2 linked regions of the Ovis aries genome follow. The protein of the gene in region 1 interacts with the protein of each later gene in a pairwise test. Links are inferred from orthologs where the notes say so. Each region holds a gene or a part of one and is shown on either strand. Other genes may lie near its edges. The genes, in order: RPS14 and KRR1.

Region 1 (17,420 bases):
GTAGGGTTTTTTTTTTTAAGCAAAGGGAGAAGAGTTTAATACTCAAATTAGGTATAAAGTTGTAGCAGCGTGAATGCAGGGAAACCACAGGCCCCTGGGACGTTAACAGCAGATAATGTCACCTCCCGAGAATGGAGAGAGTATTTCTAGACCTGAAAACAGAGAAGGGGCATCCCACAGAAGCCCAAGTCACGGGACCCAGACAGCTTGCTGACAGAGACCAGGGACATAAGTCTGCCCTCTGCATCTCCCTTCCAGTCTCTTCTGAGTTCTAACCAGAACCAGAGGGCAGGGACATAGTCTGAGGTTTTCAGGACAACTTAGCACCCCGGGCCCTAGGATAGAGTGGAGAGGGCAATGCCAGAGGAAGAGCTCTGGTATGTTTAATTTTTAAATTTGTGTGAATGCACTTAATATTCAAAATAATAAATGAAATATTAAATACCTGTGAAAAAATGTTGTAGATCTCTCTATTAGTTGTTTTGGGAGGATGTCCACAATGTTGAGTGAGAAAAAAAAGTCACATACAGAACACACGTGGCATACAGAACACAATTTCATTTACATAAGACTGAATATTATAGGTATAGATACAAGTAAACAAAATTATTTCTGGAATGATGCTCCAATCTGATAATAGTGGTATCTCGAGAAGAAAGAATTTAGAGATGATTTTTACTTTTTGCTATTTATTTTCTGTAGTGTGAGGATTGTTTATAATGAGCATGCTTTTTTAATACTATCGGGGGAAAATGTTGTAAAGTTATTTTCTTTTAAAAAAGAAGTGCCTCCATACACACTACTATATATAAAATAGATAACTAATAAGGACCTACTGTCTGGCACAGTGGAGTCTACTCAGTACTCTGCAACGGGCTATATGGGAAAAGAATCTAAAAAAGAGTGGATATCTGTATTTGTATAACAGATTCAGTTTGCTGTACACCTGAAGCTAACACAACATTGTGTTAATCAATTATACCCCAATTAAAAAATTAAAAAATGTGCCTCTTCTGTATGCTTTGGATTGGCCAAAGCATTTGTTCAGGTTTTTCCACATCTTACATCTTACGGAAAAACCTTAACTAATGTTTTGGCCAACCTGTGTGCAGAGATGGTGTTTGGAAAGAACACACACCAAGGTATTAATAGTGGTGGGCAAGACTCGTTTCCTTTTTCTTCTTGTTCTCCATTCTGAATATTTCTATTCTATGGGTTTTCTTTAATTAATTACTTTTCATAAAGGGGAAAGAGGGCATTACATTTTTAAAAAGACGTTCTTCCCTGGGTTTTCCTCCAGTGGCTGAGAGTACAACTGCCAATACGGGGGATACGGGTTTGATCCCTGGTGCAGGAAGACCCCACATGCAGCGGAGCAACTCAGCCGGTATACCGCCACTCCTGAAGGCCGAGCACCCTAGGGCCTGCGCTCCTCAGGAAGAGAAGCCACCGCAATGCGAAACCCGCACACCAAAACTACAGAGCAGCCCCCGCTCACTGCAACTAGAGAAAGCCCACGTGCAGCGACGGAAACCTAGTGCAGCCAAAAACAAACAGATGAATTTTAAAAAAGCTCTTCCTGAAATCAAGCCCAAGTTGTTCAATGGCATCAATTACAGTACACAAAGAGCTACATGCTATGTTACATAATTGCTCATTCTGTTAAAAAATTATATATATATATTTCACTATGTAGGCATTATATGTACATGCATGTATTGATATATTAATATACACACACCTCTGCATACACACACACACACACACACATACACACACACAGAGCACAACACATGACCTACTTTTTGTCCCTTCTTCATGTCTATACATTCCAATCCTTCAAGGTCCTTCAAGCCTGTTATTAGAGGGATATATGGAAGTAGTTATTAAACACAGACTTTGAAGTCAGAATTCCAAATTGCCCACAACTGTGTAATTTCAGTTAAAATTGCTTTCTTTAAATGTAAGGCTGGACACTATAAGCTCTTAGAGGAAAACACCGGCAGAACACTGACATAAATCACAGCAATACTTTTTGGATCTGTCACCTAGAATAATGAAAATTAAAACAAAAATTAAAAAATGGCAACTCCTTAAATTCAGTCTTCTGCATAGCAAAAGAAACCATTCACAAAATGAAAAGACAGCTGACACAATGGGAGAAAACATTTGCAAATGAAGTAACCAACAAGGAATTGTGTCAAAAAACACACAACCCAATCGAAAAATGGGCAGAAGGTCTAAATAAACATTTCCCCAAAGAAGCCATATAGAAGGCCAAAAAGCACATAAAAAGATGCTCAACATCACTAATTATCAGAGAAATGCAAATCAATTATCAGAGAAATGCAAATCAGTGATAATGACGTATCACTTCACACTGGTCAGAATGGCCATCATCAAAAAGTCTGCAAACAATAAATGCTGGAGAGGGTGTGGAGAAAAGGGAACCATCCTACACTGTTGGTGGTAATGTAAATTGGTATAGCCACTATGGAGAACAGTATGGAGGTTCATGAAAAAACTAAAACCAGAGCTATCATATGACCCAGCAGTTCCACTCCTATGCATGTATCTGGAGAAAGCTAGAATTCAAAAGGATGCATGCAGCTCAATGTTCACTGCAGCACTGTTTACAACAGCCAAGATGCGGAAGCCTCTTAAACATCCATTGACAGGGGAATGAATAAAGAAGTGGTAGGGCTTCCCTGGAGGCTCAGCGGTAAAGAATCCGCCTGCCAATGCAGGAGACACTGATAGGATCCCTGATTCGGGAAGAGCCCATGTGCCGTGAAGCAACTAAGCCCATGTGCCACGACTATTTCGCCTGTGCTCCAGAGCCCAGGAGCTGCGTCTACTGAGGCTCATGCGCCCTAGAGCCTGCGCGCCACAGCAAGAGAAGCCACCACAGTGAGAAACCCGAGCACCGAAGCTAGAGAGTAGCCCCCGCTCAACACAACTAGAGAAAAGCCTGCACCGCCACAAAGACCCAGCACAGTCACAAATACATACGTAAAAATTATTTTAAAATGATAATCTTAAGAAAAAGTGGTAAATACATACAATGGAGTATTACCCAACCATGAAAAAGAATGAAATAATGCCATCTGCATGGATTGCGTGGATGACCTGAAAATCATCATACTAAGTGAACCGTGAACTTCCAGACGTTCAAGCTGGTTTTAGAAAAGGCAGAGGAACCAGAGATCAAATTGCCAACATCCACTGGATCATGGAAAAAGCAAGAGAGTTCCAGAAAAACATCTATTTCTGCTTTATTGACTATGTCAAAGCCTCTGACTGTGTGGATCACAATAAACTGTGGAAAATTCTGAAAGAGATGGGAATACCAGACCACCTCATCTGTCTCTTGAGAAACCTGTATGCAGGTCAGGAGGCAACAGTTAGAACTGGACATGGAACAACAGACTGGTTCCAAATAGGAAAAGGAGTACGTCAAGGCTGTATATTGTCACCCTGCTTATTTAACTTATATGCAAAGTATATCACGAGAATAGCTGGGCTGGAGGAAGCACAAGCTGGAACCAAGATTTCTGGGAGAAATATCAATAATTTCAGATATGCAGATGACACCACCCTTATGGCAGAAAGTGAAGAAGAACTAAAGGGCCTCTTGATGAAAGTGAAAGAGGAGAGTGAAAAAGTTGGCTTAAAGCTCAACATTCAGAAAACTAAGATCATGGCATCTGGTCCCATCACTTCATGGGAAATAGATGGGGAAACAGTGGAAACAGTAGCTGACTTTAATTTTCTGGGTTCCAAAATCACTGCAGATGGTGACTACAGCCATGAAATTAAAAGACGCTTACTCCTTGGAAGGAAAGTTATGACCAACTTAGACAGCATATTCAAAGGCAGAGACATTACTTTGCCAACAAAGGTCCATTTAGTCAAGGCTATGGTTTTCCAGTGGTCATGTATGGATATGAGAGTTGGATCATAAAGAAGGCTGAGCACCAAAGAATTGATGCTTTTGAACTGTGGTGTTGGAGAAGACTCTTGAGAGTCCCTTGGACTGCAAGGAGATCCAACCAGTCCATCCTAAAGGAGATCAGTCCTGGGTGTTCATTGGAAGGACTGATGCTGAAGCTGAAATTTCAATACTTTGGCCACCTGATGCAAAGAGCTGACTCATTGGAAAAGACCCTGATGCTGGGAAAGATTGAGGGCAGGAGGAGAAGAGGATGACAGAGGATGAGATGGTTGGATGGCATCACCAACTCAATAGACATGGGTTTGGGTGGACTCCAGGAGATGGTGATGGACAGGGAGGCCTGGCGTGTTACAGTTCATGGGGTCGAAAAGAGTTGAACATGACTGAGTGACTGAACTGAAGTAAATCAAAGACAAATATCATATGATATTATTCATATGTGGAATCTAATTTTTTTAAGCTGCTAAGACTCCTTTTATTTAAAAACATTTATTTATTTGGCTGTGTCAGGTCTTAGTAGCAGTATGCAGGCTCTTCATTGGGTCATGGGCCACATGGGCTCTCCAGTTGTGGGAAGCTCTGGAGTTGTGGCATTTGGACTTTATTTCCCTGCAGCATGTGGAATCTTAGTTCCCCCACAAGGGATGGAACTTGAATCCCTTGCATTGAAAGGCAGATTCTTAACCACTGAACCACTGGGGAAAGTTCCTAATTTTTTTAAAGAAATGATACAAATGAACTTATTTACAAAACAGAAACAGACTTACAGATATCAAAAACAAACTTATAGGGACTTCCTGGTGGATAGGAATCCACCTGCTTGCTAAAGCAGGGGATGCAGGTTCCATCCCTGATCCGGGAAGATTCCACATTCCTAGAGGCAACTAAGCCAGTGCACCACAGCTACTGAGCCCCAGTTCTAGGGCCTGTGCTCCTCAAGAAGAGCAACCACTGCAATGAGAAGCCCACACTCTGCAGGGAACTGCGGCCTCCACTTTCAGAAACTAGAGATAGCCCTCATACAACAAGGAAGACCCAGTGTGGCCAAAAACTAAGTAATAAATAAGTAAGATTATTTTTAAAAAACAAACTTATGGTCACCAAAGGGAAAACGTGGTTGGGGGTGGGGGGTAGATAAGTGAGGTTTGCGATTAAGGTACACACAATAATACATAGGAGGATGGCATAGCAACCCACTCAAGTAATCTTGAGGGGAAAATCACATGGACAGAGAAGCCTGGTGAGCTACGAGCAGTGGGGCTGAAAAAGAGTTGGACACCACTGAACTGACAGAGCTTGCAGGCCCTACTATATATAAGTAAAAACAAACAATGACCTACTGAATAGAAAAGGGAACTCTACTAAGTATTCTGATAACCGATACGAGGAAAAGAATTTGGAAAAGAATGAATATCTGTATAACTGAATGACTTTGCTGGACACCTGAAACTAACACAACACTGTAAATAAACTATATCCCCCCAAACCCCAAAATCTATACTCCAATAAAATGTTTTTGAAAATCTCTTTCTTTAAAAGAAAAGTCAAACAGTATCTATTTAATAGTATCTATCTGTTAACGTGGTGACGATCAAATGAAGCAATGCATATGAATATAGGCTGGTATAAAATAACAAATATTGAATAATTTATTCTTATTTTGCCAAGTACTCAGTAGTTAAAAGGCCTTCCCTGGTGGCTCAGACTGTAAAGAATCTGCCTGCAATGCAGGAGACAGGGGTTCGAACCCTGGATCAGGAAGATCCCCTAGAGAAGAGAATGGCAGGCAACTCACTCCAGTATCCGTGCCTGGAGGAGGAAATGGACAGAGAAACCTGGAGGGCTACAGTCGAAGGGATTGCAGAGTCAGAGACGACAGACAAATACTGTTGTCATTTACCTCCGCACCGCGAGGGGAGCTGCCGCCCTCAGGCTAGGCAGGCTCCGGGCTCAGGGTGGTGGAAGTTCGTCTAGCCGCGGTCACCGCCATCTTAGAACGCAGGCCTTCCACACCCACGGGGTGTGGCTGCTGCTTTCAGTCTTAGAAGCAGACCGCTCGTCAAGATACCCAGGCCCTTACCTCCTTAGGCGCTCCCTTCAGTAAGCTGTGTTCTCCAGGCGTTTTAATCTCCTTGGAAACGCTAAAATCGGCGTCTTCCGGGAGCTGGCCTCGCCCCGTGACCTCAGACGTGCACTTCCGGGACAAGAGCGTGACCCGTCGCCCCGCCCTCTTCCACCCTCTCTTTCCGGTGGCGGAGTCTGGGGAAGACGCTCAGGTAGGAATCCTGGACAAGGAAAATCGGCTGGCATCCTGCAGCACGGGGGCTCATCGGGGCCAAGGGCTTGGGGCTGAGGTCTTTCTGCGGGAAACAAACCTCGTGCCGGGCGAGAGGAGCACGGCGGGCTGACCCAGACTGTTTCGCGCCCTGTCTCGGGAGGCGGCCGCCTTGGTTTAGGAAAAAGCTGTTAAGTGTGGGTGAGTTCGGATCCAGCCTTGAAGGCGTAGGCCCGGCGCCAAGACCACCACTACCTTAACCGGCAGCACACCGTGGTTGGGAAGGATTGGGTAATAAGTTGGTCTAATGGAGTTCCCACCTTAACCGGTTTTTTCCTGGGCAGTCTCATCCCGGGCCTCTGATCTCTGGAGTTGTCGAATCTGGAAAGTAGGAATAATCGTCTCGTGAATCCCGTGGGGATGTAGTGAGGATTCAAGAAGGGAATGCAGAGGAAATGGCCTTTCCTTAGGTGCTTCCTAAGTCCGAGTGACTGCTAAGTCGGGCACATTGCAGTTTCTGTGCAGGTCTCTCAGAGCCAGAAATTGAGGGTAGGGATTGCACATCGTTGTTTGCTGAACACCTATCACGCGCCTGCTGCCCCTGAAGCCAGAGATGAGGGGCACTCTGGTCTTGGCAGGGTGGGTTGGGAGTCCCCTGGGAACCCTGATTTCTGCTCCCGCCGGCCTGGAGCGGGAGAGCCAGAGCTCTTCAGTGTCCTGCTCACCTTTCTCGGGAAGGAAGTAACTCCCAGAGTTGTAAACATTTGGGGTTTTGTCCTTAACGTTGGAATTTGTTTTTTTTCTCCTTAAGAGATGGCGCCTCGCAAGGGGAAGGAAAAGAAGGAAGAACAGGTCATCAGCCTCGGCCCTCAGGTGGCTGAAGGAGAGAATGTATTTGGTGTGTGCCACATCTTTGCATCCTTCAACGACACTTTTGTGCACGTCACCGATCTTTCTGGCAAGTGAGTTACCCCCGTGGGGAGGCACAGGACCCAGTTAGCAAGGGCTGGGATTAGAAATGACCGGGGAACTGAGTAGCACTTTAAGGGGATCTCTGGAAATATTTTCATTAAAGATGTTCAGATAAGGATAAGTGCTTGGTTGATTAGTGCACAGATGCTGTAATCTAGATGCTGGAGTTCTAAGAGAAAAGGAGGTACACTTTGTGCCTTTACAGCCTGGGGACTTGTTATGTAAAATGAGGAGGAATTACTCCTATTACTCGAGTAATAAGATTAAAGCTAAGAGTAAAATGTTGATGCAGTGTTAATCTGGGATCTGTGAACACCTTCACTGCAGAGCCTAAGGCAGTCTTGTGGGATCAGGATGATGTTCAGATTGACCTTCATCCGCTGCCCTTCCTGGGCAGTACTGCTCTTTATCTTTAGGGTGTGATATGCACTCTGAATCCTTGATGGGTAAGAAAGAGAGGATCCTGTGCTTTTGTTCCCAGGGAAACCATCTGCCGTGTCACTGGTGGGATGAAGGTGAAGGCTGACCGAGACGAGTCCTCTCCATACGCTGCCATGTTGGCTGCCCAGGATGTAGCCCAGAGATGCAAGGAGCTGGGGATCACTGCCCTCCACATCAAACTCCGGGCCACAGGAGGGAATAGGTAAGGCTCGGGGGAGAATGAGGTCCCTGAGCTTGGGCAAGGCATCATGGGTACCTATGTGATTAATATGGGCATACCTCAGAGACACTGTGGGTTTGGTTCCAGACACCACTGCAGTAAAAATATCCCAGTAAAAATGAGCAGCGCTGTTTTCTCAGTGTGTATAAAAGTTACGTTTACACTATACTGTAGCCTATTGTGTGTGCAGTAGCATCCTGTCTTTTTTAAAAAACGCAGCATACCTTAATTTAAAAATACTTTATTGCTTTAAAGAAAATGTAACGGACTTTTTTTATAAAGGCATGATTTGTGAAGCACAATTACGTGAGGTGTGCCTGTATTTGGTCTGCACGACCCCTGCCCCAACTTACTGTGTTAACTGAGCATACACAGCATGTGAAGTGCTATGTTCTACGTACTAGAAAAGAGTGATGGGGGAAAACAGGTATTGTTCCATCCTCTGTGGCTCTCAGGCTGGCAGAGTCAGGCTTTAAAAAAAATAGAGAAGGGGAGCGTATGGTTCCTTTTTGCAGTAAATGTTGGGAAGCAAAAATGTGTCAGGGCTGGGTTGATAATAAAGTTTAAATGAAGACCTAATGTTGTGATATTAGGAATTGGTCCAGTGAAGGAAGGACAGACGAGAGTATTACAGCCAGGGACAATGGTCTTGGAATGGAAATGAGCTTGGCAAATCTCTGGGCATGAAAACTTTTTAATAGTAATGGTTTGAGGTTGAGGTTGGTTTGTCTGTTAAAGATGGCCGCTATGTTGGGAAGAGACCAAACAGGAAGTTGTTAAGTGATCCATTGATCTTGGGAGGGTGGGAAAGGACAGATCACCAAAAAGACTTAGAATCACAGCATGTGACGAAAGGGAGCACAAACTGTGGCCCATGGTGCGGGGGCAGTATGCAGCAAATAATGACTTGGCCAAAGGCTTTTCTTAATTTCGGTATTCATTTTCTAGGACCAAGACTCCTGGACCAGGGGCCCAGTCAGCGCTCAGAGCCCTCGCCCGCTCAGGGATGAAGATTGGGCGGATTGGTGAGTACCCCTCCTTGGCTGATGCTTAGTTTCCTTTCAAGTGTGACCCCAGAAAGCATGCGGTCTGTGCAGTGGATATAGGCCCTGGTCTGCTAACTCTTGGCAGTTAGATTTGTTAATGGGGTGTGCAAGAGGTACCGAGTGACATAAACTCTCTACCTGAGCACTCACGCCACCTTGACCTCAATGTCCTGCGTTGGAACAGCACCGTGTCATTTCTGTACTTCTGTGCCTGATGGTGGCTGGTGGAACTAATGGGAGATGAATTGTCCTTTTTAGTGTTTTCAAGGGAGTTGTGTTCAATATTTGGGGGGGCTGACTACTGTGTATTGGTAGAGCTGGCCAGTCATTGTGACAAAAATATGTGGGGGGTGGGCAGTGGCTCCCATGGTTGAGAATCGCAGCAGATCTCTATACTTGCATAGTGTTTATACCCTTGTGTCTGTGATCTGACCATTTATAGCTCTTAGGAAGAAAATGTTAGCCCTTCCCTGCTATTTCTGTGGCAGTGTGTACTGATCCCCTCGACCTGATGGTCCATCTCTCTAGAGGTTTTTTCCAAAACATTTTCACTCTTCTTTTACCTAATTAAAATGGAGCTATTCTTCAGTTTGAGAGGACTTTTCCACTAGAGTCAGTGGGCTAGGTATCAGAGACCTGGATTTGCCACCTGCCTCTGACATCCTATTCAAGGTGCCTGCTCTGTCTGAGCCTCCGTTTCCCCTTCACGGAAGTTGAGTTCAAACTACGTGAGGAGTTTTGAGGAGGCAGCTCCACACCCATCTGCTACATACTGAGGACTTCCTTGTGAAGCAGTAGGATCCACTGCTGATCTGCTTGACCACGGGCCTCGGGCGGCCTGCTCCCCTTCCCACCCAGCTCCAGACAATGACGTGTTCTCTTCCTCCCCACAGAGGATGTCACCCCCATCCCCTCCGACAGCACCCGCAGGAAGGGGGGTCGCCGTGGTCGCCGTCTGTGAACAGGACTCCTCAAATTATTGCTTTCTGTTAATAAATTGCTTTGATGTAAGCTGTTTTTGACTCCAGTCGTCTCTCCTTTATGTAGGGGCCACTGGTTGGGGGTAATTGATTCCTTCTTTCTGTCTGTATTTAACCAGGGTATGGGGCTGTCTTGAGGTCACGGATGCATTGAAAAACCAGCAGCCATTAATAGATAGATTACTTCAGAGAATAGGTATAACCTGTCAGAGAGGAACACGAGGTGTTGATCCAGCCCCTGCCCTGGGACAGGGAGAGCCTGTGTTCTCTGAACTGGTTTCCTGAGGAGGAGCTGAAGGAGAGGTGAAGATATGGTGCTACGGTTGGGTCTTCTCAACACTACTGGTTGTGGCATTAGTTGCCTCAGTCATCTAAAGAGACCAAGGTCTTGGAGACCTTGTTTTGAAAGTGGAGATGTTGATTCCAAAAATGGACCAATTCTTAAAGAGCGGGAGTGGAGTGGAAACTGTTGAGCCCAGTGTAGCCTGAACAGAAGAGCCTTCCAGACAGCCATATATAAACACATGTGGGTGGGTACTCGCCCCCCACACCTTCTGTGCAAAAAAGGGAGTACACTGTCTTGTATCTTTTCTCACTTGGCAGATCTAGGAGGTTGTTCTACATCAGTACATAAAGTACATAAAGATTCAGTCACCCACCAATACACACCAAGCCCTATTTTCATCAGTGATAAAAAAGTTTGTCCTTTCCGGAAGCCTGCATCCAACTCCAAGTACCCATTGGCACCAGATGGTCCTGAATGTTATGCAGAGGATTAGCCCAGGGCCCTGTGATGGTGACTTCTACTCCGAGGCAAGACAATGACATGGTGCTTTCAGGGTTCATCCCAGCAGACATGTTTCAGTACTTCATTCCTTTTTATTGCTGTTTAGTATCCATTTCCCAGGTAGGCATCTACTTAACGACTCCCATCCCACTTGGAAGAGCCTTGAAGAGGTGAGTCTTGCCATGGCTCCTACCAACTTCTGTGTGTGATGGATTAGCCATAAATGAGTCGATGTTTATCATCTTTAAAATGAGTAATTACAACACAGTATAAAATGAGTCCATGCTGATACAGGTGATCTTAAGATGAAGGCATAAATCTTACAAAAACTAAAAATAGTTGATCCCCCTTCCAGTAAGTGAACTTACCTGTGGGCTAGGCTTAGTGACTCAATTTCCAAAGAATAGAACATGGAAGATGTTAGCTTTGGGGAGATGAACTATCAAGTTTGAACTGGCTGAACTGTTAAGGTTGCTGAACACTTGGATAAATCATGTTTATCTGACCAGTACTCTTGACTTGACAAGATGATGAATACTTCAACTGAATTTTCAATTTCTGGAAACCCATAATCTAGTTAGAGGGCATTCTACAACATATCAACGTTTAAATTGTAAAAAGTTAAACAAGGAGGAGCTGAAGGAGGTGGAATAACAAGGCATTGGATGCTGGACCTGAGAGGGCAATAGTGTAAAAACTAATAAATACTAACCTAGGGACTTCCCTTGTGGTCCAGTGGTTAAGAATCTGCCTTAACAGAGGAGGCAGATTTGATCCTGGTTCAGGGAACTAAGATCCTGCATGCTACAGGGCAACAAACCCCATGTGCTCCAGAGCCCATGCTCTGCAACAGGAAAGCCAAACACCCTGCAATGAAGAGCCTGCACACCACAGTGAAGGCCAGTGCAGCCAAAAAAAAATCTGAATCTGGAGTCCAGTTAGTAGTAATGTACCTGTGCTCCTTAGTTTTGACAAGTGAATTGTTAAAAATGTAAGATACTAGCATTAGAGGAAACCAAATGAGTCATATACAGAAATGTCGTATCTTGCAACTTTTTGGTAAATCTAAAAGTATCCCTAAATAAACATTGCAGGGGTTGGGGGAAGTGAGGGTGCTTTTCTACTGTCATTCTGGTTTCAAAGGCAGGGCATGGTACACAGACCTGCAAGAGGCAGGTATTCCAGGGTGGAAATCCCAGTTCCCCAGATTTGGACTCAACCTTGGGCAAGTTACATAACCGCTCAGCCCTTTAGTGAAAATTCCTGTGATAATGGCAGCCTCATAGTTCATCACAAGAAAGATTAAAGCATTTAATCTGGCACTGAAGAAACTGCTCCTATTCTTAATGCCTGTTCAGTTCTGCCAGGCATCATGAATGACAGCTGGCTGGAATCCTGGTGGGAAGATGCTGGCGCTCACTGAAGCGTTCTTTTTATTTCCTGTGATGGGACTTTGCAACTTGTCCTGCTGTTTCCTGGTAACCAGGGATGTAATCAGGAATTTTTGAAAGCAGTTCATTCCTAGGTTTTGTTTGCAAGTTGCAAAGAGCTAGTTGGTGCAGTCCAGGTTGGAATGTAAGTGGCCTATTGGCCACTGAGGTAGTCAGGGCAGGACTTGGCCTGTTGCCCACCTGAGACTGCAGATGGCGGAAGCCCAACCACTGACTGTTAAGTGCAGCCTCAGTCAGGGCCATAGAGATGGTCCCTACTTCTCACTCCTTTCCCTTACCTGAGCTCCTATAACAGCCTTTCTCCTAACAGATCTTGTCTTCCCTCTGTTCTTTGTTTAGTCGTAAGTGAAGCAAAGACTACTTTGTCAACAAAAGTCCGTCTAGTCAAGGCTATGGTTTTTCCAGTAGTCATGTCTGGATGCGAGAGTTGCACTATAAAGAAAGCTGAGTGCCAAAGAATTGATGCTTTTGAACTGTGGTGTTGGAGAAGACTCTTGAGAATCCCTTGGACTGCAAGGAGATCCAACCAGTCCATCCTAAAGGAGATGAGTCCTGAGTGTTCACTGGAAGGATTGATGTTAAAGCTGAAGCTCCAATACTTTGGCCACCTGATGCGAAGAGCTGACTCATTTGAAAAGACCCTGATGCTGAGAAAGATTGAGGGCAGGAGGAGAAGGGAATGACAGAGGATGAGATGGTTGGATGGCATTACTGACTTAACAGACATGAGTTTGGGTGGACTCTGGGAGTTGGTGATGGACAGGGAGGGCTGGTGTGCTGTGGTTCATGGGGTCACAAAGAGTTGGACGCGACTGAGCGACTGAACTGAACTGAAGTCATGTCCAATTCTTTGTGACCCCATAGACTGGGGCCTGCCAGGCTCCTCTGTCCATGGAATTTCCCAGGCAGGAATACTGGAGTGGGCTGCCATTTTCTTCTCTAGGGACTCTTCTCGACCCAGGGATCAAACCCACATCTCCTGCATGGGCAGAATGATTCCTTACCACTGAGCCACCAAGGAAGCCCTGTCTTCCCTCTGGCCCATGCCTATGCCCAGACCACACTACAGCTGTGTGACCTCAAATTAATTGGATCCTGTCACACATACGAGTGCTATTTTATCCATGCCTCACTCTTATCTTCAGTCTAGAATCCACTCTCCATGAATCTCCAGTATTTCATCTAACTCTGCCATACCTTCACCCTCTCTGCCCAAACCAAACCTGGTTCCTTTCTCTTTGCCGATTCTGCATGCCTTCAGTCTGACTCCTCCAGTATCTTCTCTCCCCAGCTTGGCCTCACTACCCACCACTCACTTGTTAGAATCAGTTTTTCATCAGTCTCAAAGTTATCTTCTGGGATGTCCCTCGAGGTGCTTCTCCACTCAGTTCCCCCATCACTCTTACTCCCCTCGTGGTACCACTAGTCTCCCTCTATTCTAATAGCATATTGCCCTGCTAATCTAGCTCCGAGAGGGCAGAGAGTGTCTTATACAGTGTCTGCCAGCCCAGCTCCCAGTCTGCAAAAATAGGGGCTCTATAAAGACTTGTTCGATGAATCATTGAAAGAATTGGCTTCACCTTCTGTAGTTTAGTCAGTTGAAGGACTTTTCTAATAGATTCTAGATACGTTGAAACAAACATGCATTCTTGGGTTCTAAGAAAGTGAAGGAAATTCCCAGGAGCATTGAAGAAATGGGAAAGAAAAGGACATCAAGATAAAATGCTTTAGGGAGCTGAGAGCTATAGGAAAGAAAGCTGGGGTAACACTTGGGGCAAATACTGGAGTTAGTGCCAGGAGGTTAAGTGAGCTTAATCCCCCAAGGGCTCTGCTCTCAGCCCCAACCACAGCCCCGAGGTGAGGGAACTGAACTTGACTTTCATATTAACCCAGTAACCCTCAGACTTCAGAGCTAATGTGGTCACAGGTGGGAGTGTCTTTGGGCTCTTTGTAGAAGAGCAAGTCCTCTTTGGAGAAAGTGAAAGTGTTGGTCACTGTCGTGTCTGCCTCTTGTGGCGCCACCCGCCAGCCTCCTCTGTCCATGGGATTCTCCAGGCAAGATACTGGAGCAGGTTGCCATTCCCTTCTCCAGGGGATCTTCCCGACCCAGGGATCGAACCCAGTTCTCCAACATGGCAGGCATATTCTTTACTCTCTGAGCCACCAGGGAAGCCACCTACAATTGAGGTCTTGACAGTGGTTTTTCTTCCAGTTAACTCCATTGACCTGGGTAATGGTGTCATGGCTCCCTTTTGCCCAGGAGAATACTACCAAGGCAATTCTCAGTCTCTTAATGAAAGACCTGGGAAACGTTTTGCAAAACATGGCCTCAGGGGGAGCATTGCTGACCTTAAGTGGTCCAAAGAGAAGATGTATAAGGGACTTCAAATAAGTTGAGTTCTGTCTTGTTGCATGTAGTCCTAAGGTGGTGGAACTTGGCCAGTGGGTAGGTAGGAGTTGTAGAGAGATTTAAGCATCAGTTAAAGGAGCATTTTCTAAAAGAGAGCCGCTAAGAGGAAATAAAACTGCTTCCTAATCATTGGAGGCATACAAGCATGAGCCAGGCCCCCAAAGGCTAGCGAATCAGAATCAATGTGGCAGAGACAGTTGTGTCCTAGTGCTCCTTCATGTTCTGTTATGAACAGTAGCAGCCTTAGTGTTTAGCTGGATGCATGGTTGATCAGAATAGAAATCACTTTTCCTAACTATAGTCACCAGGCTGTGTATTACAGCCCCAGGTCTTATAAGAAAATGTCTTAAATAATGTCTAGATACTTGCTTTCAGATCTTTGCTGGAACTTGTCGCCTTATCAAACAGTCCTTCCTTGATCATCACAGATCAATTAATGTTTCTTCCCCCATCCCACCTCTAGCCATCACTCTCAAGCTGTTTACCTGCCACATTCATAGCACTTAACCGTAGTGTGGAGCCTGTGCCTCCTGAGTCCTGTGGTTCTCAACCTTGAGTGTGCATCACACTCAGTAGATCTGGGATGGAGGCCTGAGGACATGTATTTCTAACAAGTCCCCAAGCAGTGCTGACGTCAGTGGTCTGGAGAGCACACTTGGAGAACCAGTGGACATGTCTGTTTAGGTCACTGCTGTATCCCAGCACCAGGAGCAGTACGTTAAGTTGTGGTGTTTTCTACATGTTTGTGGACTCATTTTGCAGATGTCGCGTTCAACTAAATTTAAGGCAAGTACTGTTATCCACATTTTAGCTGCAGAGAGCCTGAGTGTCAGAGAAATTGAGTTGTCCAGGGGCACATAGCTAGAAAAGTTCAGAGCAGAGATTCGAACCTATGCTTGTCTGAAACCACCGAGTGTGCCCTCCTCAATTACTGTGCTGGCACACCCTTGGTGGGCTCCAGCTCAGTGCAGTCTGGTTGAGGGCGAGGAAGAGGAGGGCCCTGCCTGTCCTTGCATAAGATTGGGGAGTGGAAGGCAGCGGGGCCACTCCTGAAGGAGCCTGCGGCTGCCGCGTCCTCAGGCGCTGTGTACTGGTGGCCACCAGGTGGCAGTGGCATGCATACGGGATGGGGGTCTGCGTTCTGCTGCCCTGAGCTTCCGTGACCCCAGATAGCTCCCACTTCTCATGGCCTGTGGTTTCCCCATCTGCCCAGATAGAACCTTAGATCTCTGTAATATCTAAGGAACCCCTGCAGCTCAAATGCCGTCTATAAGAGACAGGTGCGGCCACTGGAAGTCAAATGCCCCCAAACCAAATATACTGTTTCTCTGCTCCCACACTGAGAAATACCCCCAAACCAGAATTCCATCACCGACAAACCCCCTCCACCGCTGCAAACCCCCACTATACTATCACTGTCCAGAAGAAATATGCAAGCCACAAAACTTAGCCACATAATTTCAAATTTCCTAGTAGCTTATTAATAAATATAAAAAGTGACATTAATTATATTTTACTTAACCCAATATATTTAGTGATTATATAAATGTATAATCAATATGGAAAGTTATTACCAAGATAGTTTCTTTCTGAGCTACACCTTGAAATCCAGTGTGTATTTTATACTTAATAGCACATGTCTCAATTGAGACTAACCATGTTTCAAGGCTTCACCTGCCACGTGTGGCTAGTGGCTGCCCTGGTAGACAGCATAGTCCTAGGATATTAATGACAAATATTTATTGAGGTATGCACTATACCGTCTATATACATTGCTCAGTCCTCATAACACCCTATGAAATAGGCAAGATTATTATCAGTCTAATTTTGTAGATAATGAAACTGAGGTTCAGGGAGGCTTTTTGGCCAAGATCACAGAGTAGGTCAGCAGAAGAGTCTGGATTTGAACTTGGCTCTGTCTGGCGCCAGAGTGTGGCTCTTCATCTTGACATAATCCTGTCCTGGTAGGAGATGTTTAGGATATACAGTCAACGGGACCCACTGACTGGGATACCAAGTCCAGGGAGTGCAAAAGCCCGGGAGCCAACAAGAAGGCCTGTGAGGGCAGTAGATGAGAGGCCTTGAAGCCTACCGTTCTCCCACCCTGAGTTATGTGTTTGGCAGCGTTGAGCTTGCCCAGCTAACAGCCAGTGACTCTGTCAGGAGGAAATCATGATCTTAGGAAGAGCATGTCAGTGTAATGAATAACTAAGCTTGCCCTCCCTAAAAAAATCTGGTGTCAGGAGAAAGTGAAAACTGAGAAATGCAGGAATAACGTGCAGGGAGTGTGGGAGAGGGTAGAATTTCAAGGGACAGGGCTAGGCCCAAAGTGTGGAAGTTATAGGGAGCAAGTTGTAACTCTGCCTCAGAAAAAATAACAATAATGACAGTGTCAGTAGCTAAATTTATTAAGCACTTACTAAGCAACTTAAATGTAGCATCTTATTTAACCCTCATCATACTAGGAGGTAGGTACTGTTTCACCGTTTTACACGTGAAGGAACTGAGGCACACGCTGCTTGAAGGAAGCAGAGTTGAGGTCAGCCAAGTAGTGTCGACACTCTGCACTGCCACACCATCCTACTGCCTAGAATGGGCTGCTCGTGGAGGTGCTGAGCCCACTGTCTCTGGAGGCATTTCAACAGACCACCAGATATGTGAAGAAATGCTCATGCCTGAGCAGGACAGAGCTAGTGAACTGCTAGTGAAGCTTGTCTGGAGAGTAACGGAGGTAGTACAATTGCCCACAGAGATTGGGAAGGAATCCTGCCTTTCTAATCCATCACCTTGGTAACAGGGGCTACAGGAGGCATGACCGTCACTAAGATTGGTCACAGCGAGTAAGGGGTCTGTGGGAAGCAGCATGGCAGAGTAGTTAAGAGA
Region 2 (15,836 bases), on another chromosome or scaffold:
ATTTAGATCTTCTATCCATTTTTTGATTGGTTGATTTGTTATTGAGCTGTATGAGCTATTTGTATATTTTAGAAATTAAGCCTTGTGGGTCACACCATTTGCACCTATTTTCTCCCAATTCATAGGTTGTCTTTTCATTTTATCTGTGGTTTCCCTTTGCTGTGCAAAAGCTTGTAAGTTTGATTAGGTTCCGTTTGTTTATTTTTGCTTTTATTTCTATTGCACAGAATCTGTAGGTCTCTTGGTCTTAATCATTGCCTTCTAGACAAAATCCAGGTCTTTGCAGAACATTTTTTTTCCCAAGGTGAATTCTGCCATTTCACTGCAAGTCACAACTGAGTTACTTTTAGCTTGTTTTTGAAGTAGCAATTTTTCCCTCTTAATAGTACAGAATGCACAATTAAAGTATGAAGTAGTATAAGTGATTGCATTAAAAACATTCTAGAATTTAACTCAAAGAGTACTGTGCTTTTTAACAGGGAAAGATATCCCAAGGACTAATGTCTATTTTGGATATCTTCCATAGCTGTTATCAGAACCTCTACTATATTCCTTAGACTATTTTCTACAGTATAGAGTAAGCGGGGGCTAAATTTAATTTCTGAAACAACCTAAATTAACTTGGAGCCAAAGAATTTGAACATGTATTTTTAGTCGGAATTGAGGTGTTAGTAAAAAGTAATGTCTTTAAAGGGGGAAGTTCTTAACTTCGAAAATAAATGTATAGCATTAGAGGATAGGAGTCCATGAATTTGAATTAGAAAAACGTTACATCTTTTTCACTAACTTCTATAGAAAATATTTTTAATGAATTAACATTCCAGTCACATCAGCAATACTTATGGCTGGACAGCACTACTTGCGTCTTTATAAATGTCAGACATCTCATATCACATCCTAGTTGTAGTTCTCTCAAAACAGTTTGTATTCATCACTAAAATTAATTATTAGACTCCCTGCTGTGCTGCGCTAAGTTGCATCAGTCGTGTCCGACTCCTTGCGACCCCGTGGATTATAGCCCACCAGGTTACTCTGCTCATGGGATTCTCCAGACAAGAATACTGGAGTGGGTTGCCATTTCCTTCTCCAGGGGATCTTCCCGGCCCAGGGATCAAACCCCTATCTCTTACGTCTCCTGCCCTGGCAGGTGGGTTCTTTACCACTAGAGCCTCCTGGGATGCCAGACTCCTTGCTAGCTCTGATCTAATACACAGAGAAGTATGTTTGTATATCACAAGTATTTTTAACATGTTAATAATTATTTCAATTTAATTGGCTTACTTTGTAATCGTATGAATTTTATTTTAGCTATTTTAAAACTGTTTCGAGAAAGAACCTGTAGGCTCCACCAGGCTGCCAAAGGGTCCATGACACGAAAAAGTCAAGAACTCCTTTCCAAAAGCAGAGTTCCAAAAAAAGATTAGTGCAATGGCAAGTTCATTGAAATAAATGTACAGCCGCTCATCATTACTACTCTGAAGTTATTTATGGAGATGTAAATTGTTTGGATATTATTTCACTTTCTAAGCTGATCCTGGTCAGTTACTTAACAGAGTGTTAAGCCTCTAGGTATGGGAATTTAAAAAATTAGTATCTTCCCCATTGGATTATTGTGAAGATTGACTCATTCGAGGACACTTAGAACAGTGCCTAGTACATGAGTGTTCGGTAATTACTATGTTATCAATGTCACATCTTTTATGTGAAAACAAATTGCACTTAAGGAACTCCCTCATAGCTCTTGTTATTTTCTTTTGGAAGATGCTTACCCCAGCCAAAAGGCTCCTATCCAATAATAACCATGGAGGTTTGCTGGACTGAGAACAAAAATGTGGGTCATGAGAGCTTCTCTAAGATGGACAGTTTTATGGGTGGCAGTGATCACACAGGCGAGTCATTAACTAGAGAGAACATTTCGTTAAAATCAAACCTAGGTCCCATTGACTCTGATATCTGTACATTGTGGTTTTTGGCAACTTAATCTTTGAGCTGTAGTTTCCTTACCTATAAAACAGAAATAAAAATAACTTTCTTCCAGAGTTGTCTCAGGAATTAACTGAGATGATTAAGACAAAGGTTCCTAAACACAGGCACTTAGAATGAATTTGGCAAATATTAGCAGGCTTCCATTTCCGCTTCCCTCTCTCCACTTCTCTCATCAATCTTCTTAATTTGTGGACTTCAATCCTAGGATTTAGCCAAAAAGAAGACAGTACTAAGTTGTGTCTGACTCTTGCGATCCTGTAAACCGCAGCCCGCCAGGCTCCTCTGTCCATAGGATTCTCCAGGAATCTACTGGAGTAGGTTGCCATTTCCTTCTCCAGGGGAACTTCCCAACCCAGGAATTGAACCCAGGTTTCCCAGGTTGCAGGCAGATGCTTTACCGACTGAGCCACGTGGGAAGCCCAGTGTTTAGCCAAGGACCATGATAAACTGCACTGGGGGGGCGGGCGGGGCGGGGAGGACCGTTTTCCTGATGGATAGTTTTCTTCTTCTTCGCAGAGGCAATTACCCAACCTGGCCATATAAAAGAGGATCCCCGTGCAGTGCCTGCCCCAAGAGTGACAACTGTCTGGACAATCTTTGCAGTGAGTAAAAGAAACAATCTACCAATAATACAATGTGTTCAAAACTCGTAACTTCCCAGAGATCAGTCCTGAATATTCACTGGGAGGACTGATGCTGAAACTCTAAAACTTTGGCCACCTGATGTGAAGAACTTACTCATTTGAAAAGACCTTGATACTGGGAAAGATTCAAAGCAGGAGGAGACAAAAGAGGATAAAATGGTTGGATGGTATCACTGACTCAATGGACATGAGTTTGAGTAAACTCCAGGAGTTGGTGACTCAGGATAGGGAAGCCCAGTGTGCTGCAGTCCATGGGGTTGCAAAGAGTTAGACAAGACTGAGCAACTGAACTGAAGAATGAAAACATTTGTTTTATCCTAATAGCTCTTTTCAGGAAAAGGGGCATCAGATAGCAATCAAAGCAATGACTTACTGTCCTGGGAATGACTATATGTTCAAGAGAAATTTAAAGAAGCAAATATCCTTTATAGTTAGCACTAATCAGAAGAACAAATGACTCATTATGGGAAATTGTAGACCCAAGATTTCTAATTTCTGCAAGATCAAAAATGTAACAAAGTTAACCAAAATAATTCTGAATTGTGTTCAGGTAGAATTCTACCTGTCCAAAGCATTCAAGAATCAAATTTTCACCTACAGAACTGAATGAAATGAAAGTTGCAATGTAGCACTTTTCACTAGTAAGACAACATTTAATGAGAAACCGTGTAGAAGGTCAATGAAGATAACTTTCCAAGGCTGCTTTACATCACTTTAAAGTATTAATACACAGTTGGCCAAGAGTCCATTTGTTTTCTGTTCCAAACACATTCCTTCCCATCTTAGTTTTTATTTTTTACTTTTTGACAAGGTGTGAAGGGAACCCTCAATCAAGCCATTACAGTTGTGCGAACCCTCTACTGCTTTTGGGCCTTTACCTGTAACCAGCTGAACCTCTCAGGGCTGCAGGGCTGGCGGGGGCGGCCGAAGCAGGAGGCTGGAACGGGCTGAGTTTAACAGCATACATTTTTGTTTGGCCAAAGTGTTCTACTGCTTACATGTTTTCAAAGTCCAATTCCTCTCAACTATTTGTTCCCTTCTTCCAGATCTGTATACATTAACTTCTCATTTTCACTCCAGCCACATAGCAATATTTGACCACCCTGCTGAGCCAGTTATTTCTCTGCAGTTCAACCACTTTTTCTGAGAATCTGGAACAAGTGCCTGGCACACACTTGATAAATATTACCTATTATCCCCAAATTCATCTTCCCTCTAATCTCAAAACTTGTTTGCTTTGGTATTCTGGTAGCATCTTTATGCCCAAAGTTTTAGGTGATGTTTTTATGCTCAAACAATCCTCACAATGCTTCTTTAGAATCAGTGATGAGGACAATTATTTTAAGTTATGTTAAGAGTAATTTTACTGCTGCTATTGGTTAACCGTCTTTCCCACTAGACTGAATTCCAAACAGACAGAAGTTATGCCTATCTAATTCACCTTTGTAACCAACTGAAGTGCCTAGTCTGGCTGACAAATGATGACTAATTTGACTGCATTTTTTTTTTAATTATTCTATTTTAAAAATCTAGATGATTAGTAACAACAGCACCAGAACAATAACAAGAAGAAAACTTGTGGACTTTTAGCTTTTGATCTTGGAGATCTAGCTTGAAATGGTCTCGAATCTTGTGGGATAAAATTCATAAATTTAAGACTGCAGTCCAACAATAATTAAAAACCCCTGGACTCTTAAGACAAAGGAAAACACAAGCTACCTTGCAGAGGGGTAAGGGTTGAAGGATAAAGGCTTTTATCTACCAGATTCCATCTCTGACAAATTACAGCAAACACTGGAGGGGAAAAAAAACCTTTTCATAAATACCAATGGAGGCCAAATTAGGATGGTTTTGCAAAATGCACTGGGAATACCAATGGTACACAAGCTGATCTGAGCTAGTGCCTGTGCGTGGAGGATATCTGTTTCACTATTCAAGAGTTGGATGTTTAACATTTCAAAAATATATATATGTAAGAAAAAATTTAAGTAGCACATCACACCTTGATTTCATGGAAGTGCATGCCAAGAAAAGTTAAAGCAGCGGAAGCTTCGAAGGCAGTTCACCACAGACAATGCCCAGTCACAGGCATGCTGGCCAGAGACGCTCACGAGCAGGCAGAGGATTCCACCACAGGAGTCCAGCTGCAGCTGGCCCGGAACCAGTGTAGAAAAGGTGTTTAACCATTCATAAAACATATAAGAAGACTGTGGCAGATGTGGATTTTTTCCCCCAGGTCTTGGAATGTCAAGTGGAGAGGAATAGTTATGACTTTTGATAGCCAAATGTCCTATTAATAAGTTAATGACAGACTAGAACAGATCAGAGGACACTCTTTACTACTGATTATAGGATTCTTCTTCTCAGGGAGAAACTTAATTTTCAGGAAAATATTTAACAAATTGCCCACACTGATTATTACTAATACTTATTTTTAATTGCAATGTCTTATTTTTATTACATTTATTTTATCTGCTTATGTAAAATGAGTTTCCATTTATAGTAGTGGTATATAAAAAGTTTTATATAAACAAGATGATTTAAAAATATCACGTTATTACAGTAAGTACAAAAAAACTTGAATAATTCACCTTTGAAAATCACTGCAGTAAAGCCAAAGCACCAGTAAATGGCTATAGTTAAGAGACTTGGCTCTTAAAAAGAAAAGCCTCACCAGTCCCTACTCTTTTAATTCTTGTTTTCTTTCTTCTGATTTCACAGCTAACCCACAACGAGACAAAGTGACACGTATGTATATGAACCTTAAACCGTTTAAGATCTATGTGAGCTGTGTTACTGCATTATGGGGAACACCATTAATGAGTATATTTCATGTCTGTTTCACAGGTTATCCTATTCCAGACCGGCCGATATTTCCACGTGACAGATACACGTCTCTTTTTCTCTTAATTACTCCACCAATTCTAATACTGAGTGTTATAATTATCATTTGGGCCAAGGGCAAATATCCTCATTTATTTACTTGGAAATAATACAATCCAAGGAGGAAAAAAAACCCTAATTCAAACATGGTGTTTTTTGTTTCAGTAACTACTGGGGGTATTTCTGATTTGCAGCAAACCCTTACTCAAAAGAAGAAATGGTTCACGTTCACATTCCACTTTTTAAGAAGCAGCACTGTTTCCAAGCTCCCACAGCTGTGACTTGCAATGAGTAAGCTCTATCCCCCGTGCGCCTCAGCTTCTAAATATGTAAACTGGCAAAACTAGATTTAGGTGAGTCTGAGACACCACACCGGCCCTCGTGAGTAAAAACACTTCTAAATAACCTGGTGCATGCTGCTCCAACTCTACGTATCTGGTTTTCCACGTTCTCTGGCAATTTGATATCTTATGGCTTACTACTTCCTCAGACATACTGGAATAGTAATTAAGGGAATTAATTTAAAAGGCCTTGCTTTTTTGGATTATGAATTAATTTTGGAACAAAATGTAAATGAGATTACATTAAAGCACTTCCTCAAAACCAAATGCTAGGACATGATAATATTTAAAGTCTGCTGCTAAGTCACTTCAGTCGTGTCCGACTCTGGGCGACCCCACAGACGGCAGCCCACCAGGCTCCCCCATCCCTGGGATTCTCCAGGCAAGAACACTGGAGTGGGTTGCCATTTCCTTCTCCAATGCATGAAAGTGAAAAGTGAAAGGTAAGTTGCTCAGTTGTGTCCGACTCCTTGCAACCCCATGGACTGCAGCCCACCAGGCTCCTCCATCCATGGGATTTTCCAGGCAGGAGTACAGGAGTGGGGTACCATCGCCTTCTCCGACATTTAAAGTCTAAACAACCTTGAAAACTACCCCTAAAATCATGCTTAGGTAAAACCTGCCTGGAATAGATTAGATACAATGCATATAAACACATATATACCACTCTCTTGTATGAAATTTTTCAAAAAACATATGGACAATACAATAATTCATAAAGAACAGTTGTTTATATTAACACTGTAATAAAGAACAAACTCAGAAAAAAGTGATCAGGGTATTACTTCTCATGGATAAGGCAACTAATGTTGCCAACTACAGTATTTCAAAATCCTTTACAAAAGGAGATAGCTTAATAAATTTTAGTTCAGAGTTTGTGTTACTTTTTCTTCTTTTTCTTTTCATCTGCTTCCATTTTAAGCTTAACTTCTTCAGCTGTAAGAGCTCCCAGTTTCTTATTCTTTGCTTTCTTAACCTTTTCCTTGAGGGCAGCCACATCAATCTTAGTTTCAGTAGAAGCTAAATAAATTAAAAAACAATACACGTAATTCTTTAGATTTCACCAAATAAAACAAAGATTACAGAAATATGAATAATTTCAGAGTACTATTGTAATTGAAAGGTCGTATTATAAAATACAAAATACCTGCTAAAAGGAAAGTTAGAAATTTCTTCAAACTAGGAGAAGACAAAGTGCTTAAACAGGCTAATAAGAATCTACATGAAAATGACATTGCACTTTATCTGAACCGATTCCTGGACTCAACTATGCTGAAACTACATTTTTGTCCTTAAATTGTTTGAAATTATTATTTATATTCATTTCCATATTCTAGAACTTTACAGTACTCTTTTAAAAACTTAGTTTTCCAAATATTAGTTCAACGAATGACTAGTATTATTTCATTTAGCAGGATTTTGGTAATAAAGACAATAATCTGAGAGCGTCTGGAGGTCCTAACAGAATCAAACCATGCAGTTAACACGAAAAGTTTGAACAAAATAAAGAAAAGCAGCAGCGAAAAATGGCAACTTTTTCTTATCGTTTAAAGAACAGTATTCAGGACATAAAAGAACCACAAGATAAAATGTCAGCATGCAAACACCCCAGCCACTTGAGAGCAGACTTCAAGTCTCCACTACAATGGAACAGCTACACTTGGCTCAGTATTAAAGTGAGATTAAACTATGTGAACGCCTTGAGAGTACGTAACTGACCGACTCTACAGACTAAAAATTATGATGCTTATGATATTTTTAACTTTTATATAACCAATGATCTAAGAAGCAGAATACACTATTTTTTAAGTTGTTAACACTGATATATATTAACAAAATGGTAATGTTACATCCGGCTTAGACCAATAGGTGATGTACAATACTGGAACTTTATAATACTGGTGACCTCCCTCCCCTCACTGACTACTTCGGAGAGTTACTTTACAGAAGAGTACAAAGGTTACTAGGGGAAAAGAAAATGTAAAAGAGAAGGTAGGTCAAAACAAGGCCAGGAATGATGATATTTTTTCCGAGTGTCTTTTTAAGAGCCTCTAAGAAAGATATTCCTGCTATTTTGCTGGTGCTGTTTTAACCCAAAGTGATGAGAAATCCATGTTAACAATACAAGCATCAAGTTTTAAGTCACAGATTATACAAGTAAAGAAAGTATAAATTTGATAAGCTCTTTAAGGGGCATGACAGCAGAGCTCAGGGATCTCCCCACTCTATTTCTACAGAGGATTCACTGCTCTGGTTTCTGTCTTTCAAAACAAAGAGTCCTTCCTTAGCACAGCAGAGATCAGGAAGCAACTGTCAATCTGGGATACTCTCAAATAGACAGTGAAAGTCAAAGTGAAGTCGCTCAGTCGTGTCTGACTCTTTGTGACCCTGTAGCCCACCAGGCTCCTCCGTCCATGGGATTCTCCAGGCAAGAATACTGGAGCGGGTTGCCATTTCCTTCTCCAGGGGATCTTCCCGACGAGCTGGTACTAAATTATGGGTTATCTCAGTCACCCCGTCCCGAGGATTTGTGAGAAATGAAATGCTGAGAGAACTGATGAAAGATGTGGTTATTTCTTAACATGAACTCCGAGATGCAACAAACTCACTACGGGTTTACTTTTCCTCTAACAGACCTCAGCATCATAACAAGACTTAGAAAACAGCATTACCTTCCTTAGGTTTCTTTAGGTGAACTGGTTTTTCTTTAGGTGGAATAAAAGCTTTGTTTCTTTCCTCTTGTCTCTTACTAAGAGCTTCTGCTTGTTTAGCCTACATGGTTAACAAAGTTTTCACAGTTGAGTAAGAATCCAAAGTATCTATGCACTTTGCAATTAATGTTGCAGGCTAGACACAGTCTTACCTTTATTGCTTCCATTTTCTGTCTCTTCTTTTGACTTGCCTTCAAAAAGTATTCACCACTAGCCAATTCTTTATCAACCTGTTGAAATGAGTATTTACAATTACTTCAGAAATCATGTAGATGGGAAGTCAATTCCTAAGAAATTCACAGTGACCTTGAGGTAAAGACAGTAGGGTCGAAACTCTTACGTAAGGTAGTTGCCTAAGAAGAAGGAAACGTATTCTAAGCTGACAAGGATACACATACACAAAAGCACGTAGGTAGGAAAGTAGGTGAGGTGTCCATGGAATACTCAACCGACTGCTTCAGGGGAGGCGGAAGGTCAATGACTCAAAAAAGTGAGGAAAGACACTTGGAAAGAGTTTGGGACGTGAAGAAACATGAATGACAGGTAAGGGAGGTGGGACGTGATTTAGAAATGACTGAAGCTTCCTGAGAAGAGTGACGAGAGCCAGGTAACACTTTATAAAAGGAACAGAAAAAAGGAGATAAAACCCTGTTCTGTTTTGTTTTAAAGTTTCATTTTGTTCATCATACAAAATGAAAAGCAAGAACTGTCAGGATGTAGCGACTGAATACTAATTAGAGCAAGTAACAACTCAGTCATTAAATAGTAAACATACAATTGATCTATCTAAGGCAACCCTCTAAACTATTACTAAGCTCTCTACAATGACTACCTTGCTTAATTCTCAAATTCTCAGACAATTCTTTGAGACAGGTATGATCATCATCCTCATTTTATGTCGAAAGAAACTGGGGGCACAAATGTGTGAAATTATGCTAATTAACATAACCTCAGACATGCAGATGACACCACGCTTATGGCAGAAAGCGAAGAGGAACTGAAGAGCCTCTTGATGAAAGTGAGAGAGAGGTGAAAAATCTGGCTTAAAACTCAACATTCATAAAACTAAGATCATGGCATCCAGTCCCATCACTTCATGGCACACAGATGGGAAACAATGGAAACAGTGACAGACTTGATTTTCTTGGCTCCAAAATCATTGCAGATGGTGACTGCAGCCATGAAATTAAAAGACGCTTACTCCTTGGGAAAAAAGCTATGACAAACCTAGACAGCATGTTAAAAAGCAGAAACATTACTTTGTCAACAAGTCTGTCTAGTCAAAGCTATGGTTTTTCCAGTAGTCATGCATGGATATGAGAGCTGGACCATAAAGAAAGCCGAGTGCCAAATAATTGATGCTTTTGAACTGTGGTGTTACTTGAGAGTCCGTTGGACTGCAAGGAGATCAAACCAGTCCATCCTAGAGGAAATCAGTCTTGAATATTCATTGGAAGGACTGATGCTGAAACTGAAGTTCCAATCCTTTGGCCACCTGATGCAAAGCACTGACTCACTGGAAAAGACCCTGATGCTGGGAGAGACTGAAGGCAAGAGGAGAAGGGGACGACAGAGGATGAGATGGTTGGATGGTGTCACCAACTCGATGGTATGAGTTTGAGCCAGCTCCAGGAGCTGGTGATGGACAGGGAAGAGTGGCGTACTGCAGTCCATGGGGCCGCAAAGAGTCAGACCCAACTGGGCAACTGAACATAGCAAATAAGTGGCAAAGTTAAGCCAAACGAGACACTGCTGATTCAAGGAGCTTACAGTCATAGAAGAGGAAGGTAAGACAACTAGTGAGTACAGGACAGGGCTTCGTGGAGCACACCAGGTGTTACAGAAGCGTGCTTCACCGCCTGAGTCACTCACTACTTTTCCCCAACTAACACTTTCTTTCTGGCTTCACTTTATTTTCCAACGTAGAGCTCAAGATCCAACACTTACAGCTTTTTTTTTTTCACTATGATGATCATCATTACTTTTTCACCTCTGACCTTTCATCAAACCTTCCCTGAAAAACTGCAAACACAGGGCTGTGGGAAAGACAAGATAGTATAAAGGGAAAAAAAAAAGGGTTAAAGGAAAAACTTCAACATACAGCCAAGGGAGGGAATAATGAAGAAAGATCCTCTAGCAGACAGGTGAAGAAAGAACTCAAAGCACAAGCAAAGAATGGACTGGTGCAGATGGGGAAAAAAATGTGAGCCAAGAGCAAGCTGAAAGAGTTCTTGCCTGGTCATCTCAAATATGTGAGGGGTAAAAAGCAACGTCATCTACTGGGAGGGGAAGAGTGCCAGAAGAATTACGAGGACACAAAGCCGCCAGAGAATACTGCTGCAACCATCGGAGGCTGGCAACGTGGGCTTTTAAGGAATATGATCTGAAGAAGGACTTTCTTCAGCTTTGTTTAGTAGCCACACTATGGGGAAAGAGGTCAAGTTTTAGGACTGATGCAAGTTTCAGGGCTGCTCTGTCAGACAGGTGTGACAGAACAAGGGAGTATGAAAGGAAACAGCGACAGGCAAGAGAAAAGAAATTACGCCAGAAGACAGCTGACAAAATGGGAGGCATTCGTATCTTTAAAAAAAAAAAAAAAAAGGACAGATACTGGAAGTTAAGATTTCAAATCCAGAGCAAAATATATAGCACATGTCACATGAATGAGGCTAAAGCAGAACTGGAAGCACTCACGGCTGCGTCACTGACATTTTTTAACCGTGGAACATTCAGCGGCTACAGGCATAGATACACAACCAACCTCAACCACCTTGATGTCATTTTACTCTCACAGCATGAAGCTTCCACTCCCCACCTCCATAGTTAGTTCAAAATTAGTATATCTACACTTACCTTCAGATTCTTGGATCTCTACACACCCAAACACCCACAGAAATTCCACCTAAAACACCCTCAAAGTTTCTGACAAAACAGATTAAAATGCTTTCCCTCTCATGTAACAAAATTCAACATTTAATACTGACCTGACTTTCTGGCTGTGGTGGTGGGAATGGTGTATACTCTTTCTTAACAGTTTTCTTCTTTGGTTCCTTGCGTTTATTCACATTTTTGTGCTTGAACTGTGGCAAAAACCTTTCCCAACTTTGTGATCTTAACTCAGAGTCTTTCGCCAGCTCTCGTTTAATCATTAAAGTCTTGGGTCATGGTAATATACGAACAAAGTAAACACTTTAATTTAAGAAGTGACATGTTTCTCAACCTAAGACATTATAAACAATGTTCTTACAAACAATAAAATTAAAAGGAACAACTCTTAGCTGCTTCAGTAGGATTAAATCAATTCTGTAAAGAAAAAGCATATAATCTCAAATATGCATAACTAACCAAGTATCAGAAAACCATTAGAAATTTAGACTAAGAAACAGAATCATTAAAATAGAGATGAAAAATAAGACTCAGTTTTTCATTAAAACCTCTGAAATTCAACTTAATTATACAGAGACAGTGCTTAGTGAAGTTTCCTACAAGCAGGAAGCTTTTAGTAGCACATGATATATCATTCATAGGGAAAGAAAAAACTAAAGTTTCTCATGATCAATGAAACCAGCGTTTTCACATTTCAGCCAACTCCACCTGAATTTTATCGACACTGACACATCACAGGATGCAAAGTAGGCATCACACGCAAGACATGCTCTCTTTAATGTCCCAATGAAACGCAAAATCATTTTTTCACCCCAATCTAAGAGTGACTTTTCAAATTCATCAAATTCAAGGACTGTTTAACAAATATCCATCATAAAACATCACATACCATGGTTATGTCTCCAAAAACAATCACTGAATGTTATGCATACAGGGATATAACATCTCTCTCAATGAGCCTATAATTTGAGTGTTAAATTCCAAAACAAGTTTTAATGCAATCTGAATTATTCCAGACTTACAGAAAATGGCAGAATTCTAAAAGATCACACTTTTAAATACAGTCTGTGGGCTCCTTAGCCTAAGAAAACTGAATTGGTACCCTCTACAACAAATGGCAACCCACTCCAGTAGTCTTGCCTGGAGAATCCCCTGGACAGAGGAGCCTGATGGGCTACAGTCCACGGGGTCGCAAAGAGTCGGACATGACTGAGCGACCTCACTTACTCACTTACAACAAATTCTGTGAAGCATATTTTATTTGTATCAGAACTGAATCACTACATTACAGAGCTCCCTTCAACAGCTTTCTTTCACACAATACTCCTCAAAGTTCAAAGAAGGAACTGTAGGACTGGGATAGTGTTGAGTGGGCTTCACTCTACCCAAATAGTTCTGCTTTATCTGTTTTGTATATTAGACTTTCATAAAAGATTTATTTTCAAGAAAAGTTTCTGTAGCTAAAAACAATTTGATAACCACTGTTATACTAATGAACAGTGAACACTCACTTTAATATTGTAAATTGGATGAATATTCTTCATAGTGTCTAGGACTACTTTCCGAACCTGAAATTTGCAAAGAAAAATGAATCAGTTATTTATAATGAAGATTTTAGTGAACTAGGTAGAAGAGGATTAATATATTGCAAAATAACCTACGAACCAGGCAATGGCTACGAAATTGGATATACTAGTCCCTTCAACTGTTCTGAGTGGCTTCTGGATCTTTCATAATAGTTAACCTCACTTGGATACAATGAAGTCTCTCAATTCTACTGCTAAAAAAGTGATACGCAGAATTAACACAACAGTCTGGAGCTGTGCAATTTAGGGAAAGAGAGCTGGACTTAGAGTTAGAAAATATGTGAGCAAATGCTGGGACTTCATAGAGGAAAGTCACTTAATTTTCCTCCTGACTTCAGCTTTTGAATTCTGTAATACATTTGAAATAAAACCACCTTAAGGATCTGTTGTAAGAATTAAATAATATACTTAGACTCCACAAAACTATGAAATACTCAAAACGCCTAAGTTGTTGTTGCGCCATGTGAAAAAAGCAGATACTTATGAGAAAGAGGTCCAGAAGAAGTATTATTAAAGGCCCTGGAAAGGAAGTAAGAGCTCACAGCCAGATACATACAACAAAAGCCTCAAAAGGAGCTTACAGAAACAGTATGTGCTCTATAGATTTTCTCATAACATGTGACAAACTAATATTCACGAAACATTAACATATTAAAACTCAAGGAAAATACATCTTAAAAGAAGTCTTCTGGGCCTGACCTCTACTGGCTGTTACTGCGAAGAACAGATCTGCTCAGTTCTCCAGTCATTCAAACCCATGTGTCTTCTAATGTTTGCTACAGACTGAGAGCTTAAAATACCCACTTAAAACCTGTAGTAGGGGAAGTAATGATGAATTCAGAAATGAATCTCTCTGTGGTTACCAAAAGTTAGCCGTGATATGCTAAGGTTCAGCAGTGGCTATTCCCTCAAATTACATGAAGAATTTACTAATGAAAATCAAACAAAGCACAATTCACTTAAATTACGAAACAATACATTATCCAATGAACTATTATAGTATACCCATATTCTTTCATTTATTCTCTGCTAAAACTAATTTAAGAGCATAAATCTCACCTCTTTCAAGCCACTAAAAGGTCCAATGGCTGAAACCGTGTTTCCCTGAACCATAATGTAACAGTTTGTCAAGAGTTCCAATGCCTATATCAAAAGAGCAAAAAGTTGCACTTCAGTACACTGAAAAACTAACAACAGAGGAAGACATACTTTTTCACTAATAAAAAGTACCTTCAAAGTAGATCCTTTGGGACCAATAAGCCGTTGTCTTCTTTTTACAAATCTTTCTTTATTTCTTACTAAAGAACCTATTTTAATGATGTCACATGCAACATCATCCTGAAGAATTCGTACTGCCTTTTGGGAAAATGAAGAAAATAGCTCATCAACATTCTTTACAAGTACAAATGTTTTCCAAGCCAAGAAATTAAAGCACAAAAATGAAAACGTTTTAGTGGGGAGGGGGGTGGCGGCAGTGATATATGTTGTCTCTAATGTTGCTGCACATAAAGCAAAGTCTAAATTTAATTCTAAAGTTACCTGTTCAAACGAAACACTCCTGGCTAACAGTTTGATTAGGTCTCTGGCCCTAATGATGATGTATGGATCGAATGTCTTCTTTGTAGTACAGACAGTCATGCTGCCCTCAATCAGGTCCAGGGTTGCATTAACATGCTACAAAAGGAGCGAACAACAGTTATCTGAAGATGAATTCAATTTTAGATGATTACAGAGCCTGTCCTAGCCTAACTATTAATTTCTGTGCCATTAAGATATCTCAAAATCCTTTAACTCTCTCCTTGAAGAAGCTGGAAAGTTAATGTAAATAAGGGATACTTGATTACGTTTAGATTTCAAAGAATATAAGAAACTCAGGTAATTGAAAACATTTATAGTTGGCTTTAGGATAATTTACACTTACTGGAATAAATATTACCTCCAGTCTAAAAAAACACATCAATCAAAATGAGGTCATACTTAAGACTTAAAGGTAAAAATGTAAAGCTTGTAATTTCGCTACCCTGGCTAGATGTTGCTCTAATCTAAAATCTTCCCCCTAGAGTGAAAATAGACTTTCCCTTTCAAACTCTCCCCTGGTGGCTTGGCAGTGAAGAATCTGCCCATCAATACAGGAGATGCAAGAGACGCAGGTTCGATCTCCGGGGTGGGAAGATCCCCAGGAGAAGGAAATGGCAACTCACTTCAGTATTCTTGCCTGGGAAATCTCATGGACAGAGAAGCCTGGTGGGCTGCAGTCCATGGACACAACCGAGCAACTAAACAACAACAACAACATTAGCTAAATACAAAGTAAAAACAAACTGTCATAGGTTTAAAAATAAAAGCAGTAACTAGAGAATCTATGCATTAACTTTCAAAAGAACCAGACTTCAACAAAGCAAATAAAAATGCTATTTTCTAACTTGTGAGCATGACCTCAAGAATATTTCAATACAATGAATGATGAACAATTAAACATAAGGTCAGGTGTCTATCAGTTTAAACACACACACACACAGAAACAAATTGGGTCTAATCCCAGATATAGACAGCTCTAAAATATGGCCTGGTTTGCTAACCACTCTCATGCCTGGTGGGCACAAATGACTCTAGAGCAGTCCCACAGCTGAGAAACAGATTTTCAATAACAACCTAGGGTGTACACAAACACACAGAGACAAACCAAACGCTTCATAAAATGATCCTTATCCTTACCACATGTGATTTTTTTTTCCTAAGGCTCACTATAGCCATTAAATTGACTTCCTGATTCTCTAAGGGGTCTCAATCCAGTTTGAA

Evidence for each region.
Region 2: the proteins of RPS14 (region 1) and KRR1 interact in binary tests that used the Homo sapiens proteins (3 or more experiments, as listed by UniProt). The link is inferred for Ovis aries from reciprocal best matches to the Homo sapiens genes RPS14 and KRR1.

Annotation. Positions count from the first base shown.
Region 1 is NC_056058.1:59,529,881-59,547,300, reverse strand, and holds RPS14 (small ribosomal subunit protein uS11), read left to right. Parts: upstream 1-6,193; 5' UTR 6,194-6,431; intron 6,432-7,041; 5' UTR 7,042-7,043; coding exon 7,044-7,192; intron 7,193-7,683; coding exon 7,684-7,845; intron 7,846-8,811; coding exon 8,812-8,888; intron 8,889-9,581; coding exon of another isoform or gene 9,582-9,598; exon of another isoform or gene 9,599-9,802; coding exon 9,803-9,870; 3' UTR 9,871-9,920; downstream 9,921-17,420.
Region 2 is NC_056056.1:111,515,208-111,531,043, forward strand, and holds the end of KRR1 (KRR1 small subunit processome component homolog), read right to left. Parts: intron 14,712-15,836; coding exon 14,577-14,711; intron 14,394-14,576; coding exon 14,268-14,393; intron 14,181-14,267; coding exon 14,097-14,180; intron 13,020-14,096; coding exon 12,963-13,019; intron 11,721-12,962; coding exon 11,550-11,720; intron 8,796-11,549; coding exon 8,718-8,795; intron 8,627-8,717; coding exon 8,527-8,626; intron 6,875-8,526; coding exon 6,735-6,874; 3' UTR 5,624-6,734; coding exon of another isoform or gene 5,352-5,623; 3' UTR 5,046-5,351; downstream 1-5,045. Other genes in the region: GLIPR1 (glioma pathogenesis-related protein 1), read left to right, coding at 2,503-2,588, 5,352-5,623. UniProt on the Homo sapiens protein: Part of the small subunit (SSU) processome, first precursor of the small eukaryotic ribosomal subunit.